Linked DNA regions of Danio rerio. The main gene of each other region encodes a partner of the protein of the gene in region 2 in a complex. Links are inferred from orthologs where the notes say so. Each region holds a gene or a part of one and is shown on either strand. Other genes may lie near its edges. The genes, in order: taf6, taf8, taf11 and taf10.

Region 1 (5,427 bases), on a different chromosome or scaffold from region 2:
CTACTGTAAAAAAAACCCGATAAGGTCTAACAGTGTACTAATTTTTGTTCATATAGCTATACGTTACCATTTATATATTATATATACTTTTATATATATATTATATATATATATATATATATATATATATATATATATATATATATATATATATATATATATATATATATATATATAAGTTTGCATTGTATGCATTCAAATTGTTTATCACTTATTGTTTCATAATATTTATTGTTACCATTTTTTACAAAGAAAAAAATTAAATATGCTAAATATGGGAAAGTCAGGATCGCAATTTGTAGCAACAAATAACAAAAAATGTTAAATAATAATGACTTGGTAATTTGTTATACCTTAAGTTATAACTCTTAAATCATAAATCAAGTTAAAAAATATATTTTTATATGTTTTGCATAGGTCCAGATAATATGTAAAATGGCATGAAATGCTTTTTTTTTCTTTTCATTTTCCATTCCTCACTTTTCTGAGGATTAAGAATTTTTAGATATTTGGACTAAAACCAAATCAGAAACTCTTAAGTAAGAAAAGGATTTTTTGCAGAGTATTTATACACATTTTTTTTTTTTTTAGTGAGCATTAAGAATTTTATGCAAGGATTCAGCTTCATTTAAAGACAACTGGCAATCTCTAGAGATATTGTTGTCAATAAATAAATGTAAAAAAAATCTAATGTTGTCTAGGTTTTTGATTGTCAGGTAGCTAAATGGTCCTTGAAATTTTAGAAAGTAGTAAATTGTTTGTCTAAACGTTCTGCAGCTGTCTGGTAGTCAATACCACTGCATTCTTATCACAGCACATCATTACGCCATATTACACTGTATTGTACGGTTATAATTGTGTTATTGTCAAAATGCAACTTTATATATAAACAATACAACAAATTTCATCTCTCTATATAAAAGCGTATAACTAGGCTACAATTAACCATTACACTTTCCAACTATTTGTGTTTTGAATTTTTCTTATTAGATTAATCTAAATTAATTTGCCAGTGGGCTTTTGCATAGCTGAAATTGTTTGGTGAGTGTATCAGTTCTGCATATTCTCTAGTGAGTTTATAACTCACTTTCTGATAAATTAACTTAGCGTTCTTATTCAGCGTAATCTAATGAAAAAAAAAAAAAAATATATATATATATATATATATATATATATATATATATATATATATATATATATATATATATATATATATGTGTGTGTGTGTGTGTGTGTGTGTGTGTGTGTGTGTGTGTGTGTGTGTGTGTATTTATGAACAGGACATTTAATAATCTGGGAGAGTAGACTTCAAATGTATTGTTTGGCCATGTATCTTCCATCCCCCCTACTGGACGCATTAGGAACAACAGCGGCGTAAAACTGTGGCGTGTAAAATTGCCTGAGCCGTAAAACTGCCTAGATCCAAGTCTGCAGATGTCCCATATAGGGGTCTGCAGCTTCCCCTTACTCGCCGCTTCACCCAACCCAACAGCAGGGGCACTGTCTGGTCTGTCTGTGCGCGCTAGTCTGAGCGTGCAGTTGGGTCTCCGGGCCTGCAGCTTCCCCTTACTCCACTCGGGCGAGGCGGTGTGGTGAGAAATCGAGTCCCCCTGCAATCGATTCCGAGGCAGTCTATGTCATGAAAGATGCATAAAAATGAACCTATATACACTGCTTCTTCTGCATTAAATATTTGCTGAATAATTTGTAAAACGTTCATTTATAACTATTCTTTTATAAAGTGTGTTTAAAACATGACGCTAATATGAGCTTGTAAAAATATACGTGCGATAACGTCACATTTGTTTTAGGACCTTTCAGCAGATTCAAAATGGCGAATTTTCGGAAAAATGGTTCGGAACTAAATGGGCTGTGCAAAGTATTAACAAACCAAACAAACAAATAAAAACACAAAATTCGTATTATATAATACAGAGGATTTACCCGTTTTGTTTTATTGTTTTCAAAGCGGCAGCTTTAAATAGACATAGCTGCAACCTCCTTTTGAAGGTAAGAAAGACATGCTGTTCACTTTTGCTTTTGTGCACGTTTATTACAGAGAAGCATGATCCAGTCGTACATTAATAGCCTTTCGACACACACACACACACACACACACACACACACACACACACACACACATATATATATATATATATATATATATATATATATATATATATATATATATATATAAACAACGCAGGTTTATGTAGCGGTAACGCACAGACAACGTAGTTTATTTACTTCTTTACTTCTGAGTATTTGATCAGTAACGTTAATTACATGGTCTCAAATAAGCAATGCAAACTCATATTGATTCTAGTAGAAATACTAAACTATTTTATAATTTAGAGTTTGAGAATTTATAACAGGGCAACGCTGTGGCGCAGTAGCAAGAAGGTCGATGGTTCGAGCCTTGGCTGGTTAAGTTGGCATTTCTGTGTGTAGTTTGCATGTTCTCCCCGTGTTCGCATGGATTTCCTCCGGGTGCTCCGGTTTCCCCCACAAATCAGGTGAAATGGGTAAAGTAAAATTTTCTGTAGTGTATGTGTTTGAATGATAGTGTGGGTGTTTCCCAGTGATGGGTTGTTGCCTGAAAGGGCATCAGCTGCGTAAAACATGTGCTGAATAAATTCGTGGTTTAATCCGCTGTGGCGACCCCTTAATAATAAAGGGACTAAGCCGAAAAGAAAGTAAATAAATGACTGATCTTATAATACATAGTAATAATTGGACATTTTATAGAGTTATTATAGTACTTTTACGATTCCTAGTAGGATGCAAAGCTGTTCTCTGTTAAGAAGTGTAGCGTTACGCAAGTTTGGGAAGTTTTTCTTTTTTTTTTTTTTTTTTACAAAATACATGCTTTAAATAGTTATCAATATTATACATTTTTATTTAGCAACTTACTCGAAATACTTAAGAATATGCATATTTTAAGCTAATTAATACAAATAAATAGGATTCCATGCAGTTTTATGCTGCATTCCAAGCTTTAAAACGAATCCAAATACACAGACACAACTATTCTAAAAATAGCCAAAACAACCATCATAATTCTTCAAGTTATAAAAAATAATTGGGTAATTTCTACAGAAACATCTATTTTTAGCATGGCAATTCAGACAAGATGTTTAAACATTTATTTCTTTTTTAACATTTAAACTTAGACCACATTATTCAATTTCTTTTTACAGAAGGATATCCAGGACAATTTTTAATATGTGGATGCATAAATTTTGACCCAATCCAAATGTAATAGCAAGTTGCACATTTGCAATTGCATTTCCACTTTTGTGAACGCGCAGTGACTGCCACATTTCAAATAAAAAAAGAAAAGTCCATTTGAAAAATGCATTTCCCATGTCTTACGAGCTATGGGCCTGACATATCTGAACAGCTATATTAATTGCTTCACTTTCTTTTTTATTAAGCTAGAAACAAGAAAAAAAATGACAACATAAAATATTTGCTTTATCACAAACTGTAGTAGCATTATTGGTAATAAATATTGAGGCAACAGAGGCAACGTATATAAGCTAGCTTGAAAAATTGTTTATTAAATATAGATTGTATAATTTGAAAACATGCAGTAAAATCATAATGGTTTTACTTTGCAAAATTATGCTACATACAGTACATGTAAATCACACTACAAGATGGCTAGTAGATGGAGCTTACAGATCAGTAATAATCCCATCATTATGAAATTTGCTGAATCACAAGTATATTGAATTAAGCCCATTTATACATAACGTTTAGATGTTTGATAACTGCAAATAATGTCAGCATATATTTTGCTAATATTTTCAGATCTCTTAAAACAAACTACAAAAAATCGTTGAAACATTATTAGGCTACTATGAAACTTAAACCCGATTATTAATTAATTAATTCATTCATTCATTCATTCATTCATTCATTTATTCATAGTCTTTTCGGCTTAATCCGGGGTTGCCACAGCAGAATGAACTGCCAACTTATCCAGCACAATTTTACGCAGCGGATGCCTTTTAGGCTGTAACCCATCTCTGGGTAAAGCCTGGTTTAAACTTCTGCGTTAAGTGACCGGCGTGACCCACGGCGCATGCAACGGGTGTAGCTGTGCATTTATACTTCTACGCGCTGTCTCTTTTGATCTGAATTAACACTTCCGAAACGCTAGTTGGCAGTAAGGTGTTTATGTTCCTCTGTGTTGAAATTCTTCTCTGCTGTTTTGCTTTTCCTGAACACTTCCTGGATGTACAAGTGGCTTAAACTTGCTCATTTTGAGGCATCTTTTGTGCAGTCTGGGATTTGAGAAAGAGATGCGCGGGCTTTAAAGTGTCACGAAACACCAAAACACGTATTTTGAGCTGTTGACAGTCGTATATGTGTCCCACACTGCTAAAAACACTATTAGGACACCTATATTTCACCAAAAAGTGTAAATTGGTTGTTTTTGCGTTATTTTAAGCAAATTCGTACTTCCGGTTTGAAACGAATTTTTGAAGCTGCGTCACGGTCATGACATAATAGCGTTGTATTCCAGCGTGCAGACTGGGCGTCTGTGCCAGAGTGTGTCTTGTTACGTCTTACAGTGTGATGCATTAATGCATGAGTAAAGCTTGGTTCAAACCAATCAGCGCGCTCTATTGTGGAACTTTATTAATATTCATTACTGTCGTAGTGTTCAGACGGCAGAGACGCCACGTTGTGTTGGCAAAACAAGCGTGAAGTGTTGCTTTTATATCTTGCTGCCGTTAAGTTTTGTTTTCATTTTCTCTCTGTGAGAGCTCATCTGGATCACGCGTGGATTAACAGTGTACGCGACGCTCGACAACAATAACTTGCGTGTCTAAGGAGGATTATTGTTTACCTGAGAGCTGTTCTCATCTGCAAACGCTGAGATCCGGATTCGCTTGTAGTATTCTCTTCATAAAGACGCGGCTCTAGTTGCTGGGGATTGTCCTGTCTCTACAGATTTGGTAAGTGAGCGACCAGTGCTCTTTGTTTATTCAGTTTGTTCGTATCGAACTAAGTTAACTATTGCACCGAGTGCAAACATGTTAGCACCACAACCAAACTTTACCCTCGTGTAGGGTTTTTACGGCATTTTGTGACCAGAATAACACACGCGGCTTTCTGACGCTACCTGCCGTGTGCATCTAAGTTTCTGGAAAATGCTGAGTTTTTTTTCTCTCATTCGCCGTGCGGTATCAAACATTGCATGAAAAATACACGCTTAGAGCAGTTCCTCGAATCAAATATCTCGTTTGTCGCAAGAGGGCATGAATGAATTCCCTGAATGAAAGAGCCAAATTGCAGTTAAAGTCCACCATTTAATAATTCGACTACAGATGTCCATGTAGGGTAAATACCATCACTTTCTCCTGTGTGTGAGTATTTTGACTAAAACTCGCGCGTGCCCAAATAGACACTCCC
Region 2 (5,562 bases):
ATGATATTCGAAACATATTAATATATGTTTGCGTTTTATAAAGATAAACACACAATAGATGTTTTCCAATGCGGCTGGCTGACACCCAGCTCATTAGGTTAGCAAGCTGGCTAACGTCTGGGCGTGATAAAAAGCCTGTTTTTGCATTTAAACTCCTTTTTGATATCCCTACCATCAATAAACAGTATACAATTATTTTTTCCACATCAAATGCATTACAAGAAGCATGTATTGGTGCGAGGAATTGTGTGGAAGATTGGATAATCCACCGTCAGGCAGCTAGCTAACATGTCAGGCTCTGCACAGAAGCGCAAAGAGCGAACACTAAACTGCTTGATTTACGCCATTCGTGGGATTTTACCATGGCTCACCTGGTCTGAAATATTGAGTACCCCCATCTCCCTGCGTCAGTCGGGCCGAAAGTCCCTCATCAGTAAGGAATCGAGGCTGGGAAACCAAGACGACAATCTTGTGTTGCGATTATGGACGTGATGAGTGAATCTTTAGCTGGTGAGGCAGTTGAAAATAGCGACACCAGCGTGATGGCCGCCCGCTGAAACGACTTTCAAAATAAATGCCCGACAACTAAACCTTGCTGTGGAAAATATACTTTGCAAATGTCAATGTGCACCAAATACACCCCCTCCCTCACACACACAAATAAAAAATAACTTTTTTTTCTGTTTAAATAAACTTTAAATGTAATATGTTAAGTCATATTATCATAGAGAAGTACAGATAAAGCTGTTTTTACAGACAACAACATAAAATCAGCTGCTGTTAACACCGCAGAATTAGTTATTATTGTTATATATTTATTTTTCAAAATCTAGATTATAGAATATTAATATACCCCTAGATAAATAGTTGCAAAGCATTTTTCACAATACACACACAACTATATTTACACTTCTTTTTATTTCCTACATCTAAAGCAATCGCTGCAATAAAATGAATTATTTGAATTACTGTTATGATTTCCAATCTTTAGAAAATAGAATGACACAATATTTATTTATTTAAATCAATAAATATAAATTTACTACAGAAATATTGTCATTTGAGATTGCTTCACAATGATACATTTTGATTGGCAAATCTGACCTTTAACACATTAAGCTAAACCTTCTGCCCCATATGCAGAATGCAGATCTACCGGATATACTAAGACACAATAAAGGAGACCAATTTTGCTTCATAATAAATAGGCGTAATGCATTTCTGTGTCCACAGAATGTGCAGCTACAGCTCAAATTAAGCTACAGATCATTTATTTTTTTATGTCATGCTGCAAAAAAAAAAATGACCCAAAAAATGTGCATCTCTTTAAATGCAAATGAGCTATTTCCAGAAGAAAGTGGGTCCTTTACAGTCTTTCTCAGATATTCTCAAGACAAGACATTGTTTTGGTTTTATCATGTCTACTGCACTTATGTGACATTTTAGTTCATCATCATGATGAAAGTTTATTATCCTCATCCGTTTTAAAGCCTTGTTGGTCTGTCTCGCTTTGTCCACTCATTTCAAAGCATTTGTGGTATCAGCCTTTGCTAAGCAACCATCATCTGTGCTCTCCATGGAAAATTTTTATTTATTTATAATTTTTTAACATGAAAAGATTAAAAGATAATTGGGCCTGACTCAGCATGAATGCTGTTTTTCAGCAGATTCCTGCTCCGCAGAACATAAAAACACACAGACACCCATTAACATGTCAAATTATATGAAAAATACATAAAATAATATAATAATTTGGTAGCATTAAGGTCTGAGGTGTTTGTGTCTACTCCCACGATTCAAATATTATAATAAAACTAGGATTAAAACTGATTTACCTAGCTTTTGTACCTCGTTTTCAGGTCAGAACTTAAAAATTAAATCTTCTGTGTCAGTTTACCGTTTTACTAAAGAATCATGTAGAAAGCAAGGATGTGAACATTTTGTTATCTAAAAGACTTGACATTTCTGTAAGATGTTCGACATTTAACTATTAACATTAACAGCTAGTTCGTGTGTGATGGTTCTTTTATTCAAATCATTAAAATAAAAATAAAGATAACATATTTAGAAGTCTTTAGAATAACTTAATAAAAGTTTTATGAGCATGCTACAATACCGTATTGACGATGACTTCAAAAAATGCAAATTTCTACTTTTGCTTTCATTTTTAGGAAATGGCTATGCAACAGTTATTTCTTTGTTTGACTTTTATTTTGGAATTGCACAGAAAACAACAACCTTCCGGTCGCCCTGTTGGAAATGTTGATAGGGTTGCCATTTTCGCCCAATATAAAAACACCAAATACAGTTTTTAGCAAACGCAGAACGCACAATGAGTTTATTTGCGAATGCTAAACATCAGAGGAAAAACCACTAGAGTTCTAAAATGGCAGACTCGGTAATGATGGGGAGCGGATCTTTAAACTCCGGAAGCGTACGTTAAATATCTCCTTTCATTAACGCTAACGTTACTCTTTCCTTCACCCTGCTGGCTCAGCCAAACAATACTAACTTTAGTTTTTTGATCAAAATTAGACTTAAAGGCACTTGTGTAATATATTTTAAAGCAGACACCGTATCGTATGTAAACACGTCTGTATATATATATATATATATATATATATATATATATATATATATATATATATATATATATATATATATATATATATCAATTATATAGTGAGCTGTTGCAGATCAGTGTCGTCAAACAGTGTTTTATATAACTGGTAAACGTCTTGTTAAAGCCGAAAATCACAAACTTTACTGTACTGCAACTGTACAAACTCAATTTTCTCCCAGCAGGAGTTTTCTATGAAACAATGCTAATGTCACTCATAATGACAAGTTATTGTGCATGGAGAATTGGGTTAGCATAATATATTAACAGTAAACTAGATTATTGACAGGAATGGGCAGTTTTACATACCATAATTTAATACCACACTCTTAATGCAATCCACAGTGGAATAGTAATCTTAACCAGATTCTCAGATGCAAAAATGAATGCAATAGATGCATTTTTGCCTCAGTAATTATAAGCACAGCCTTACAAAATCCCTAACTTTTTGTTAAGGATCCATCCATAAAAAATAAAAAAACATTAACAAAGATTGAGGTAAAGGTGGCTTTATATTCACACATTCAGACTTTGTCCTTAATAATATAAGTTCAGAAACATGTTGTTTGCAAATTCTAAATAGGGAAATCCTATTAGCAGCAGTGATAATGTTGTTTTGAAGTCATTACCTAGCTAAAATTTTACCCAATACTGTTATGTTATCGTTGGCCATGGAATTAATTTAAACAGGATTGGTAAAATACGATGTCTTCTATTTGCTGGACAAATGGTAGATTTAGTAGGTAAAGCTTTTAATCTGATTCAGTTTGACTCAATTGAGTTGAATCAAGTAATTCAGATCTTCAAGATTTGGTTCCTTTAAATGACCTAATAAATCCCTGACCAATGTTTTAATATAGGTTGATCCCTTACACTTAATAATCAAAGTAGCATGGAAAACAATATAGCGACTCACAAGTTGTCACTTTATGAATGTGCCATATAAAACCAACTTAACTAAGCAGAAATTAACTTAAAATCACATACGATTCCACAATGTGAGTTATAGTAATTTCCAGTAAAGTAAATCTACCTCAAAACGTTTTGATTTTCATAAAAACTTAATTACATGACTAACTTTTCCATTATTTTTTCAAAGTTTTATATTCATGAGTCATAACTAGGGCCAGACGGAATCTGCAGATGTTTTTTGCTATTTCTGCTGAGATTTTTGGTAAAAATCTGCGGATTTCTGCAGAATTATTTTGGGAGTATCCAGCGGAGTATCAAAACTAAAACCTTAATATATGAAACAAAAAGTAATAAATTACTGAATAAAAACTGAATAAATTTAGATTTACACATTTACTCAAGTAAATAAACAGAATTAATGATGGGCTAAAAATCTGCAGAAATTCTGCGGAAAATCTGCGCGCGCAGATTTCGTGTGGGCCTAGTCATTACCACTAAATACAATTCCTCTTTCTTCAACACTAATCTTAGAATAAACTTTGAAACCTTTTAAAAACTCAGAAGCTTACAGTATAGGAACCATACTAATTGTAAAACATTTCAAATAAATGCAGTTCATTTAGCCCTAACTTAATCTCTTTTATTGCATTTTCAAAGAAATGCCTTGCTGTATTAAATGCAGATATGTTTTAAAACTTCCTGATCTGTAAAACCTTCTTATCATCTTTTATTTTATTATTTCCAGCGCTCGGGGAGCAGTAAGACCTGCACCAGTCCCACAGAGAACTATCAGCTGGCTCGGAGACGCACGCTGCAAGTGGTGGTCAGTGCTCTGCTGACCGAGTGTGGCTTTGATAGCGCTGAGAAAGCTGTTGTGGAGACACTCACTGAGATGATGCAGAGCTGTGAGTCCTTCATTTACTTTAAGCAGCTCATCTTGACAAAATTTAAAAGCTTATGCATACCAATATCACAAATCATCGCGTTTTACTTTTTACGTTTGTGTGTATTTGTATGTAATTTATGGTTCTATGTTCTAATTTAACCACAGTTTGGGAACCAAAATTGAGCTATAGTTGAATAAAAGCTCACAAAACAATACAATTACTTTACACTTTTCTGTACATTAGAATGTGTCTATTTAAAAATATATTAATCTGAGCAAATAAATTATCACTGAAATGTCAATAAGACTAATATTGTATACACTAAAAAAGTTTTTTTTTTTTGTCAGGCATACAGTATTTAGAAAAGTGTAGCTCCCAAAAATTTTAATTATTGTCATTTTAAATCTTTTTACTTGTTCACTATTTATTTAGATTACTAGTTTACTTATTTGTCTGCTAAGTTATAGTTTATTAATAGGTCATAAATGGATAAATACATGTTTTTGTGTGTCTAGTATGACCATTTATTCTTAAATATATTTTAATAAGTAGAGCTCATGTTTGCTCCGGTTTCCCCCCACAGTCCAACGACATGTGCTGTAGGTGAATTGGGTACTTTTTGATTTTTAAGAGTCTTGTTGTCTTTTGATAGATATAACAGAAGTTGGACGTTGCGCAAAGGCAAACTGTGAGCACACAGCCAGAAGCACCCCTACTCTGTCTGATGTGGTCATTACTCTCGTCGAAATGGGTTGGTTTACTTTCAATGTTAGGACAAATTAAAGATTCAACTTCTTTTTTAATATATATATATATATATACATGGTTTAGTCATGCTAATGAGATTTAGGCTAATCCTGGATTTACTTTTCCACAATCGCAGGTTTTAATGTGGATACTCTTCCAGTGTACGCCAAAAGATCTCAAAGAATGGTTATAACAGCACGTAGGTCTCTATTATATCTAAATATTTATATTTTTCTGCTGTAACTGTTCCTGTTTTAATTGGTAACACTTATGCATTTCACAGCTCCGATAACAAACGCTCCGGTGGTACCAAAATCTCTGACGGCTGGACAGAAACGCACTCACCCGGCACACATCCCCAGCCACTTCCCTGATTTCCCAGATCCTCATACATAC
Region 3 (5,301 bases), about 35 Mb from region 2:
AATTTAATAAATAATATCACTAATTCTGAGCCATATATCCCTTCAAGCTTTATGTGGAGTATCCTGATATTAGCACAAGAAGAATCTGTGACTGTTAATCGGGGATTTGTGGAATAATTACAGCCCTTTTCAGGAGTTTCTTTAAACTGAATCACTATAATGATGTGCACTTTTTAATATTATTGCATATCTTTTTCTACTCAAGATAATAATACTGTAATTATGTTTATTTTAGTGTTTTATTTACTTTTGTTTCATCTATATTTTATTGTTAATTTTAAACTGATTCGTCTGTTTGAATGTGATGTCCATTTACTGATTTATTTATTATTCATTCATTCTTTTATGTTCCTTTGCCTTAGTCACTTTATTCATCAGGGGTCGCCACAGCGGAATGAACCACCAATGATTCCAGCATATGTTTTACACAACGGATGCCTTTACAGCTGCAACCCATCACTGGAAATTATCCATACACACTCATTCACACACATTTTTTAATAAAAATAACCCTGGGTATAATTACTGTTTACACAATATTGTATACATTATATCAGTTCCCCTATAGCGCATGTGTTTGGACTGTGGGGGAAACCGGAGCACCCGGAGGAAACCCACACCAACACGGGGAGAACATGCAAACTCCACACAGAAACACCAACTGACCCAGCCGAGACTCAAACCAGAGACCTTTTTGCTGTGAGGCCACAGTTCGTATGAATTATGCGTATTATTATTGTTATTAATAGTGGCTTGAAAATTAGGTTTCAAGTAGTCAAAATCATTTTAATCAATTTTAAAATAAAAGAAACAATTTGACTTATGTAACCTGACCATGCTAAAATAATCAGTGCAAATATCTATTATTTGCATTGTATATATTAAATTATATTTATTATTAAAATGAAACAAATAAGTAATTAATATTTGATTAAAATAAATAAATAAATGGGCAATATATTCAAACAAACAAATCAGTGAAAAATAAAAAAATACATTTACTCAAGTTAATAAAATAAAAAAGTAAACAAATACTCCTTATGGACATTTTAGGTACATATCGTTTAGTTGAAATGGGATAATTTGAAATAACATCATTAATTAGCCTATTATTATTATTATTATTTAAATATAAGCATAAAATTTTAACTATATGCAAGGGGTACATTTAAATAATTAAATGTGATTTAATCATTTGTGAATATCTATCAAATAAATATATAATTATGAATAATTAAAGGGTTTCTGCAATTAAACTAAAAGCTCGAGTGAATTTTGATGGATTAAATCAGTTATTAGTCCCTGTTTGTTTGTTTGTTTGTTTGTTTGTTTGTTTGTTTGTTTGTTTGTTTGTTTGTTTGTTTGTTTGTTTGTAACTGTAAGCACAGTGTTTATGTTTCAACTATTTATAATGTTTAAAGTGGCTGACAATAATAAATATTCGTATTAATAGGAATTAATCTGCCTTGTTTTTGAACTGTGCAGAGCTGCTTCATTGGGCCTACTACACTTCTGCATTTCAGTACTGCTCCTTATGGTGGTTCTTGAAGAGACATTTTTTCTGAGGTGGTCCTTGATGAAAGAAATCTGAGAACCGCTGCTTTAATGTATAGTATTGTGCGCCACCAAGTGTTTGACGTGGCTGTGCACGCTTGTGCGGACTCTTATTTTGTAGTTTAACCGGATATGCTCGTGTTTACTTTGTCGGTCTGAGGCGCTCGTCAGAGAACACTCGTTGGATTTTTGTGTTTTTAAACATTATTTTCAACGCGGTTGTCGGTCTTAGGTATGTTTTGATTTTTTTTATGAATTCACGGTTTTATTTTGTCTAACAAGTGTTAAATCCGGCCCCAAATACACATAGCATCGTAAGTTACGATGATCGTTAAGTTACCGTTTTCACCTAAAGTAAACTATCATTACATTGAAGATGACCGAGTGTAACGTTAATACAGCTAATGCACATTAGATAGAGCCCTGTTTAATCGCGTTGTTTACGATCAATAACAATGATATATGGGGACTTAATGGATATTTAGAGGTAAAGTAGGTTTTATATCCGCACACTGGTGCATTTAGCAGTCTCTATATTGTTTAGCATGTTACTCTGAATATTGGATCTGAATTAGCATGCAAGTATGACTTGTAAACAACATTAACACTGTCTAATTGACTGTGAACAATGCTGTACTTTGATAGTCATTTGCTGCTAATATCATTTCCCTATTTACAATACTTTTCTGACATTATATTGAGGAGAATGTCTGAATATCAGAATATACAACCAACTTCACCTCTATATGTTTTATAGAAGACACAGACTAAATTATAAACTGTAATGACAGTATTGACATTGTAAGCAACAGTTCACCCTAAAATTACAATTCTGTCATCATTTACTCTTGCTTTACTTGTTTTAAACCTTTATGAGTTTCTTTCTTCTGTTGAACACAAAAGAAGATGTTTTGAAGAATGCTAGAAGCCGGTAACCGCTGACTTCTGTAGGGTTTGTTTTTCCTATTATAAGTCAATGGTTGCCTGTTTACACATTTTTTCCCCTTAAATGTTCCTTAAATCTTTTTCTTAATTTTGTAAACCAACAACAAATTGCTCTCTCTTTTCAAAGATTGTATATTATATAATTAAATATTAAAATCAAATAAATAATCATTTGATTAGAATAATTAATTAAATACATGTGCATTAAAATTATATATGTATATATATATATATATATATATATATATATATATATATATATATAAACATTTTTTAAAAATTGTAATGAATGGTTGCTCTCTTTTTTTGTAATATGACAATTTGTTCTACATAATTGCTTTTTGTAATCTTTGTAATTTTTTTTTACATTCAATAGTATTCATCCAGAGTAATTCTTACAAAAAAAAAAAAATATATATATATATATATATATATATATATATATTGCAATCATGAAACACAAGCAAGGCTTCTTGAGATATTTTAGATATTTGGACTAGAAACAGACACTCTGAGTTAGAACAGTGTTATTGCAGTGCTCAGTTGTAATTGGATCAGGGACTCCCGCTCATGTGTTGCAGATAAACACACTACAGCAGTGTCCATTATTTCCACATTCCCTTTCCCTGATCCATCAGCTGAAATCATGGCAGACCCGGCCCGTGTGAAACCTGAAGCGGGCACATCGGTGGACAGACCCAAACCGGGCGAGGGGTCCAGTGAGGGTCCGGAGGGCAGCAGTAAGAGCTCTGACCCTGCTGCGGGACAGACTGCTGTAAAAGAGGAGGGCAAGACGCTCAGTCAGGTCTCTGCCTCTTCATTCTGCATCCTCAATGAATTCAGTTTCATTCTCATGCAAATAAATCAACCATGCATCACTGTGTTCCTCAGAGGCCTGCTGAAGATGCTGGTGATGAAGAGGAGGAGGGATCTTCATCTCTGCATCCTCCTCCTGCCAAAAAGCTGAAAGTGGAGCCGCACGACAAGAAGAAGGAGAAACGCCACAAAGTGGATGAAGACGAAATCCAGAAGATGCAGTGAGCTGTGTGTGTGTGTGTGTGTGTGTGTGTGTGTTGTGTGTGTGTGTGTGTAGCTGTAAACTGATAATAACACTAATAGACGTGTTTGTGTTTCAGAGTTTTAGTATCATCGTTCTCTGAAGAGCAGCTGAACCGCTATGAGATGTACAGGCGCTCGGCGTTCCCTAAGGCAGCTATTAAAAGAGTGAGTCTTTAAATTAAAAACAGGTCTTAAAAAGAATTCAGAGTTGATCAATCTGTTTAGAGAAAGTATTAAAGTCTTTTACAGCTGGTAAATATTGTGTCTGTTTGGATTATTCAGTGTGTGGCTGTCTGCCTAAGTTTAATTTGTGAATATTGGGCAACATGGTGTTGCAGTGGGTAGCATAATCGCCTCACAGTAAGAAGGTCACTGGTTTGAGTCTTAGCTGGGTCAGTTGGTGTTTCTGTGTGGAGTTTGCATGTTCTCCCCGTGTTGGCGTGGGTTTCCTCCAGGTGCTCCAGTCCAAACACATGCGCTATAGGGGAACTGATTGTAGTGTATGCGTGTGTGTGTGTGTGAATGAGTGTGTATGGATGTTTCCCAGTGATGGGTTGCTGAATACATATGCTGAAAAAGTTGGCGGTTCATTCCGCTGTGGCGAGCCCTGATTAATAAAGGGACAAAGCTGAAAAGAAAATGGCAGCATTGTTATTCCTGCAAGAAGGTCTCTGGTTTGAGTCTCGGCTGGTTCAGTTGGGGCTTCTGTGTGGAGTTTGCATGTTCTCCCGGCATTCGTGTGGGTTTTCTTCAGGTGCTCCGGTTTCCCCCACAGTCCAAACACACGCGCTATAGGGGAATTGGGTGGGCTAAATTGTATGTAATGTGAATGAGTGTGTAAGAGTGTTTCCCAGATATGGGTTGCAGCTGGAAGGGCATCCGCTGCGTAAAACATATGCTGGATAAGTTGTCGGTTCATTCCACTGTGGCGACCCCGGATTAATAAAGAGACTAAGCTGAAAAGAAACTGAATGTTATTCCTGCTGGTCTACAGGCGCCCCCTGCTGGAAGTCCATCAATTCTTTCATATTGAGTGTGAGTGATGCATTAGTTTAGGCGCAGGCGTGTCATGTAGCATCATTTCACTGAAACAGATCATCATTTTTAATGATTCAGGCTGTTTTTATATCATTAACTGCCCACACTAATGTTGATTAAATCTTTGTGTGGATGATGATGAAAGAACAGTTGTAGCCTGTGATGGAGCAAATAAACAGATCACTCCCACCGTTCTGAATTATCTTGCATTGAAAAGCGAGTTAGCACCAGCTAAGACTCTTTAGTTATGCGTAACTGCACAGTCTGTGTTTGGTAACTATACTGTACGCTAAAATGTGCTCAATATTACTGGTTAGAACGAATCAATTCTTCAATCGAGAAGCGTTTTCTAGACAAGAATCAAACATTTTCAGAAATAATGAGTCAAAATGAAGTGAGTTTTTCATTAAAACAAGCAGAGTAATCTTGTGTCAAAAGGCAAAACAAGATTATTTCGCTCACTCCTTTGATTTGCAGACTGTTTTGCTTGTTTTAACTTCATTTTGACTCGTTTGTTTGTACAAGACGTGAGTTGAATGCACTATATACACCATTATACCTCAAAATAGCACAGAATAGTGCATGAGCGTGTGATTATCGATGCATCTTCTTTGTCTTGGAGTTAAACAGATTTCTTTCTGTCCTCCAGCTGATTCAGTCCATCACCGGATCATCGGTCTCTCAAAACGTGGTCATCGCCATGTC
Region 4 (3,999 bases), on a different chromosome or scaffold from region 2:
ATCATATGAACATTTTCATATGGTCAATAATATTACTGAAATAAATGTAATAATAATAATAATAATAATATATATATATATATATATATATATATAATAAAATATATAAATTTGGCAAAAAAAAACCCTGTGGAAATCTGTGGATTTCTGCGCACACAGATTCCATGTGGGCCTAGTTACTACCCAGCCCTGATCAGAGAGCTTAGCATTTACCTACAAACATTTAATTATAAATTCAATTATTTACACTTAGTTGTCCAACTTTTGTCCAAAGCAACTGTCAAATGAGAAAGGGTATTGTGATTTATCACAAAGAGCCAATGCCCACTTTAATGCCTGTATTAACAGGAAGTTGTTGCAAACTTTTATTTCAGTGTGATGACCTATTTCCAACTGAATTGAAATATTGAGCAGTGGGCGGGTTTTATTTTTGTGCTCCTGTCATCTTTCACTTGTGGCAAACTTAACGGTTGAAGAGGTGTGGCTAAGCATCTTTTGCTCCAATCTGTCAAACTGACGTCATCAGAGAAGAACTGCCATAACAGAGCAGAAGCAGATGGTCAGATTTAGATTAAACTGTTCCTCTTAAGTGGATTAACTTGCACATATGAATCGTTCACTTTGAGACTAACAATCTGCGCTAGCAAAATAATCTATGGAAATTTTATTAAATGCAGACTTAAGTAGGGAGGGATTAAGGAAAGAATGAGAAGAAGAATTTTTTGTTAGGTTGTAGTTTAGTGCTCATGAAAGAGAAGTTTTAGCTGCCTTTTGATTGTTGCCTGTAATGTCAATTGTTGTTTTATTGCCTTAAATTGTCTGTTATACTTACTTTCCGCCCTCAAAGTGTCTACTTCGGCTTCCATGGCAACCCCATCCTCCGACTCCACTGTATCAAACGGCGTGTATGTGCCCACAGAGATCGCCAACGGAGACGTGAAGCCTGTGATCTCAACTACACCACTGGCAGATTTCCTCATGCAGCTGGAGGATTACACTCCTACAGTGAGCTCCCTTTTGTGATTTGTAGTTTATTCTTTGGTTATTAATGATATTTTATGAGTTGTACTGCTAACAAACTGTCTGTGCTTCAGATTCCAGACGCAGTTACAGGATACTATCTCAACAGAGCTGGATTTGAAGCATCAGATCCAAGGATGTGAGTTCGGAATAAGAAAGCTTTCTCTCAGAAAGCTGTTGGGTCAAATATGATAAAAGCACTTTAAATGTATGAAAGATAAACAAAAACTCTTAATACTTTAGTTTATTTATCGGTTTCCACGATTTCACTACTGGCTTATTAGCTGCCTGTTATTAAGAGATTGGCAGTTTATTAGTACTTCTAAAGTATGATCTTATTCTACATCCCTAATCCTACCCAATACCTAAACCCAACTTCTACCTTACTAACTATTAATAAGCAACAAGTGAGTAGTTTGAGCTAAAAGTGTTAGATAATGGGTTGTTAACAGCGAGAATTGTACCTTAAAATAAAGTGTGTGTAAAATAAAATGTGTAAAGTGAACATGTAATAATTTTATAATTTCAGATTTTCTCAGAATTTTTGCTTAAATTGTTTAAAGATGCGATTTAGGTGTCATGTTCATCAGCTGGAAAATTAAAACTATCCAAAAGTTGTTCCAACGTTTTTCTGGGTTGTTGGACGGGTCTTTGATCGGGGCTCTCTGGGGGCAGGACCAGATGGCTGCCGCCTTTATCGGACTATATCCACATCCCCTGTTCCCATCACCTGTTGCGATGTTATGTCTATGTGTTTTTGTGCTCGTGCTGGGGCTTTCTTTCCCCTGATCTTACACTGCCCTACTTCAACGGCAGTCGGAGAGGGTTTTTTTTTTTCACCTCCCTTTTCCCTAATATATTTTATTTCCTCTTTCTAAAAGCTACCTTCCATTAACCTGTCTTCTCCTGAATTATGTGATGTTTGTTTATGGTCGGGGTGGTCCAACTTCACTGCATGTAAAAGTGTATGTGGCAGGCTGTTTTCATCATCATCATTATACAATTTGTAAACCTTTAAATGGTTATTATGCTCCGGTTTTCCCCATAAGTCCAAAAACATGTGCTGTAGGTGAATTCAGTAAGGTAAATTGTCTGGAGTGTATGTGTGTGTATGGACGTTTCCCAGTGATGGGTTGTAGCTGGAAGGGCATCCACTGTGTAAATCATGTGCTGGATAAGTTAGCAGTTCATTCCGCTGTGGCGACCCCAGATTAATAAAGAGACTTAGCCGAAAAGAAAATGAATAAATGGTTATTATTCTTAGTATGAACAGGAAATAAATATCACATTTGTCTAATGTAAAGTATTGCATTTTTGTTAGTCGGTAACAAGCTAATATTGAAAATGCTATCTTAATATAAAAGGTTGGTGTTAATTTTTTAATCATAAAAAAACATGCTTTTATATCTTCATAAACCCCTCATGAATCTGCCTTTACATCATGTCCTTGTTTCTTTGCCAGAATTCGTCTCATATCTCTGGCATCTCAGAAGTTCATCTCTGATATTGCAAACGATGCACTACAACACTGCAAAATGAAGGGCACAGCCTCTGGAAGCTCCCGAAACAAGGCCAAGGTTTGTGCGCACAATGCATTTTAGAATGACTATATGTACAATATAAAAAAAAACTTGATCTTTAAATCTCACATGTTATAATCATCTCACTTTCCAGGACAAGAAGTACACTCTGACGATGGAAGATCTGACACCGGCTTTGGCAGAGTACGGCATAAATGTTAAAAAGCCTCATTATTTCATCTGAGAGCTTCATTCTAATGGACTGCTGGAAATGTGCTAATTGTCAAGATGAGAAACATCAGCCCACTTGCTTTTAGGGATTTAGCAGCTTTTTTGTATTTTTGTTAAGCCTGACTGAGTTATATTATGCCACATGACTTAGTTGATGCCAGTAAAAAATCTTGTATAAATAAATTCATTACAATACAATTCCTGTTTTGGTCATCAATCACTGTAAATCAATCAATCAAATACTGTAAAAAGAAGTCTTAAATTAACCACTGTAAGGCTTGTGATGTAAGTTCATACACTACATGTATGATCTTCTCATCTTCGCTTTATGGGTTTAGTTTCATGCCATAAGGAGCTGGAGCTGTAACGTGCTGCAGTATTAATAGTACCTGAAGGACCTGCTCAAGTTTCTCGCAACAGTCTAATACAGCTGAGACCAATCATCATGTCTTCAGAGAAAACATTATATAAATATAAGAATATTATTAGAATAGAATCGATCTTGACTTTGCTTCTTTCAGTTGCTCTATGTGCTCTCAGGCGAATTCAATGTAGGTCACAAAAAGGGTGATGGGGATTCATAAGAAGTATGCTAGATTTTTTTTAAGTTGCTAAAACAAATAATTTTATCCCGGTTTATTGTTCGGTGATTATAAGTAAGTCATATATGGGTCAAGATATCGAAGCTGTTCACTTGGGTCTGTCAATCACTGTTCAGTTTGACTAATAGCGAAAGTTTGGGGCGTGGCTATAGCAGCAGGTGGGCCTGAGGATGATTAGCTAGTCGGAGTCTGAGGCGTTATCTGGGAAAAGAGATTAAAAGTGCGATATAAAATGTACTAAGTTACTTGCCAAACTACGCAAAGATATACAAAAATACATGAATAGTGGTGGTGCTTTACAAGACAGAAGAATTTGAACTGTGTTTCATTTGAGACTTTTTCACAGGTAAGCTAAACTCTTTGTTACAAAGCATTACATGTTGCCACTTTACCGCCAAACCCCATTTCAATTGTTAAGCCGTGTCAGTATACGATAGTAATAAGACAAAATGTCAGCAGCATTTGCAAGGATTGTATATAGTTTATTTTTTGTAATCCCACTAGGAGGCACTAGTTGAGCAGAAACGGCATAATATACTTCAGTGGATCTCAAAGTTTTTTCATCGATCAAGTACCACCTCAGAAAAAAATTGTCTCAACAAGTACCTCCAAAATGACCAGTATTG

Evidence for each region.
Region 1: taf8 (region 2) and taf6 share a complex: the UniProt entries of both Homo sapiens proteins name them as parts of the TFIID basal transcription factor complex. The link is inferred for Danio rerio from reciprocal best matches to the Homo sapiens genes TAF8 and TAF6.
Region 3: taf8 (region 2) and taf11 share a complex: the UniProt entries of both Homo sapiens proteins name them as parts of the TFIID basal transcription factor complex. The link is inferred for Danio rerio from reciprocal best matches to the Homo sapiens genes TAF8 and TAF11.
Region 4: the proteins of taf8 (region 2) and taf10 are in contact, whole or in part, in a crystal structure (PDB 4WV4), measured with the Homo sapiens proteins. The link is inferred for Danio rerio from reciprocal best matches to the Homo sapiens genes TAF8 and TAF10. Residues at the interface, in NP_612639.2 of Homo sapiens: Arg33, Thr36, Leu37, Val40, Ser43, Leu44, Leu45, Ala48, Gly49, Phe50, Glu51, Ser52, Ala53, Glu54, Ala56, Ser57, Thr60, Leu61, Met64, Leu65, Gln66, Tyr68, Ile69, Ser70, Ile72, Gly73, Arg74, Ala76, Lys77, Cys80; in NP_006275.1 of Homo sapiens: Pro115, Leu116, Phe119, Leu120, Leu123, Tyr126, Thr127, Thr129, Ile130, Pro131, Val134, Thr135, Tyr137, Tyr138, Leu139, Ala142, Gly143, Phe144, Glu145, Ser147, Asp148, Arg150, Ile151, Leu154, Ile155, Leu157, Ala158, Ala159, Gln160, Lys161.

What each region holds. Positions count from the first base shown.
Region 1 is NC_133180.1:58,922,360-58,927,786, forward strand, and holds the start of taf6 (transcription initiation factor TFIID subunit 6), read left to right. Parts: upstream 1-1,836; 5' UTR 1,837-2,010; intron 2,011-5,427. UniProt on the Homo sapiens protein: The TFIID basal transcription factor complex plays a major role in the initiation of RNA polymerase II (Pol II)-dependent transcription.
Region 2 is NC_133198.1:35,333,903-35,339,464, forward strand, and holds the start of taf8 (transcription initiation factor TFIID subunit 8), read left to right. Parts: upstream 1-2,316; 5' UTR 2,317-2,386; coding exon 2,387-2,434; intron 2,435-4,277; coding exon 4,278-4,437; intron 4,438-5,071; coding exon 5,072-5,170; intron 5,171-5,302; coding exon 5,303-5,365; intron 5,366-5,449; coding exon 5,450-5,562. UniProt on the Homo sapiens protein: The TFIID basal transcription factor complex plays a major role in the initiation of RNA polymerase II (Pol II)-dependent transcription.
Region 3 is NC_133198.1:379,543-384,843, forward strand, and holds the start of taf11 (transcription initiation factor TFIID subunit 11), read left to right. Parts: upstream 1-1,692; 5' UTR 1,693-2,041; intron 2,042-3,080; 5' UTR 3,081-3,145; coding exon 3,146-3,304; intron 3,305-3,390; coding exon 3,391-3,536; intron 3,537-3,635; coding exon 3,636-3,723; intron 3,724-5,245; coding exon 5,246-5,301. UniProt on the Homo sapiens protein: The TFIID basal transcription factor complex plays a major role in the initiation of RNA polymerase II (Pol II)-dependent transcription.
Region 4 is NC_133183.1:27,708,659-27,712,657, reverse strand, and holds the end of taf10 (transcription initiation factor TFIID subunit 10), read left to right. Parts: intron 1-847; coding exon 848-1,005; intron 1,006-1,094; coding exon 1,095-1,159; intron 1,160-2,482; coding exon 2,483-2,597; intron 2,598-2,694; coding exon 2,695-2,784; 3' UTR 2,785-2,966; downstream 2,967-3,999. UniProt on the Homo sapiens protein: The TFIID basal transcription factor complex plays a major role in the initiation of RNA polymerase II (Pol II)-dependent transcription.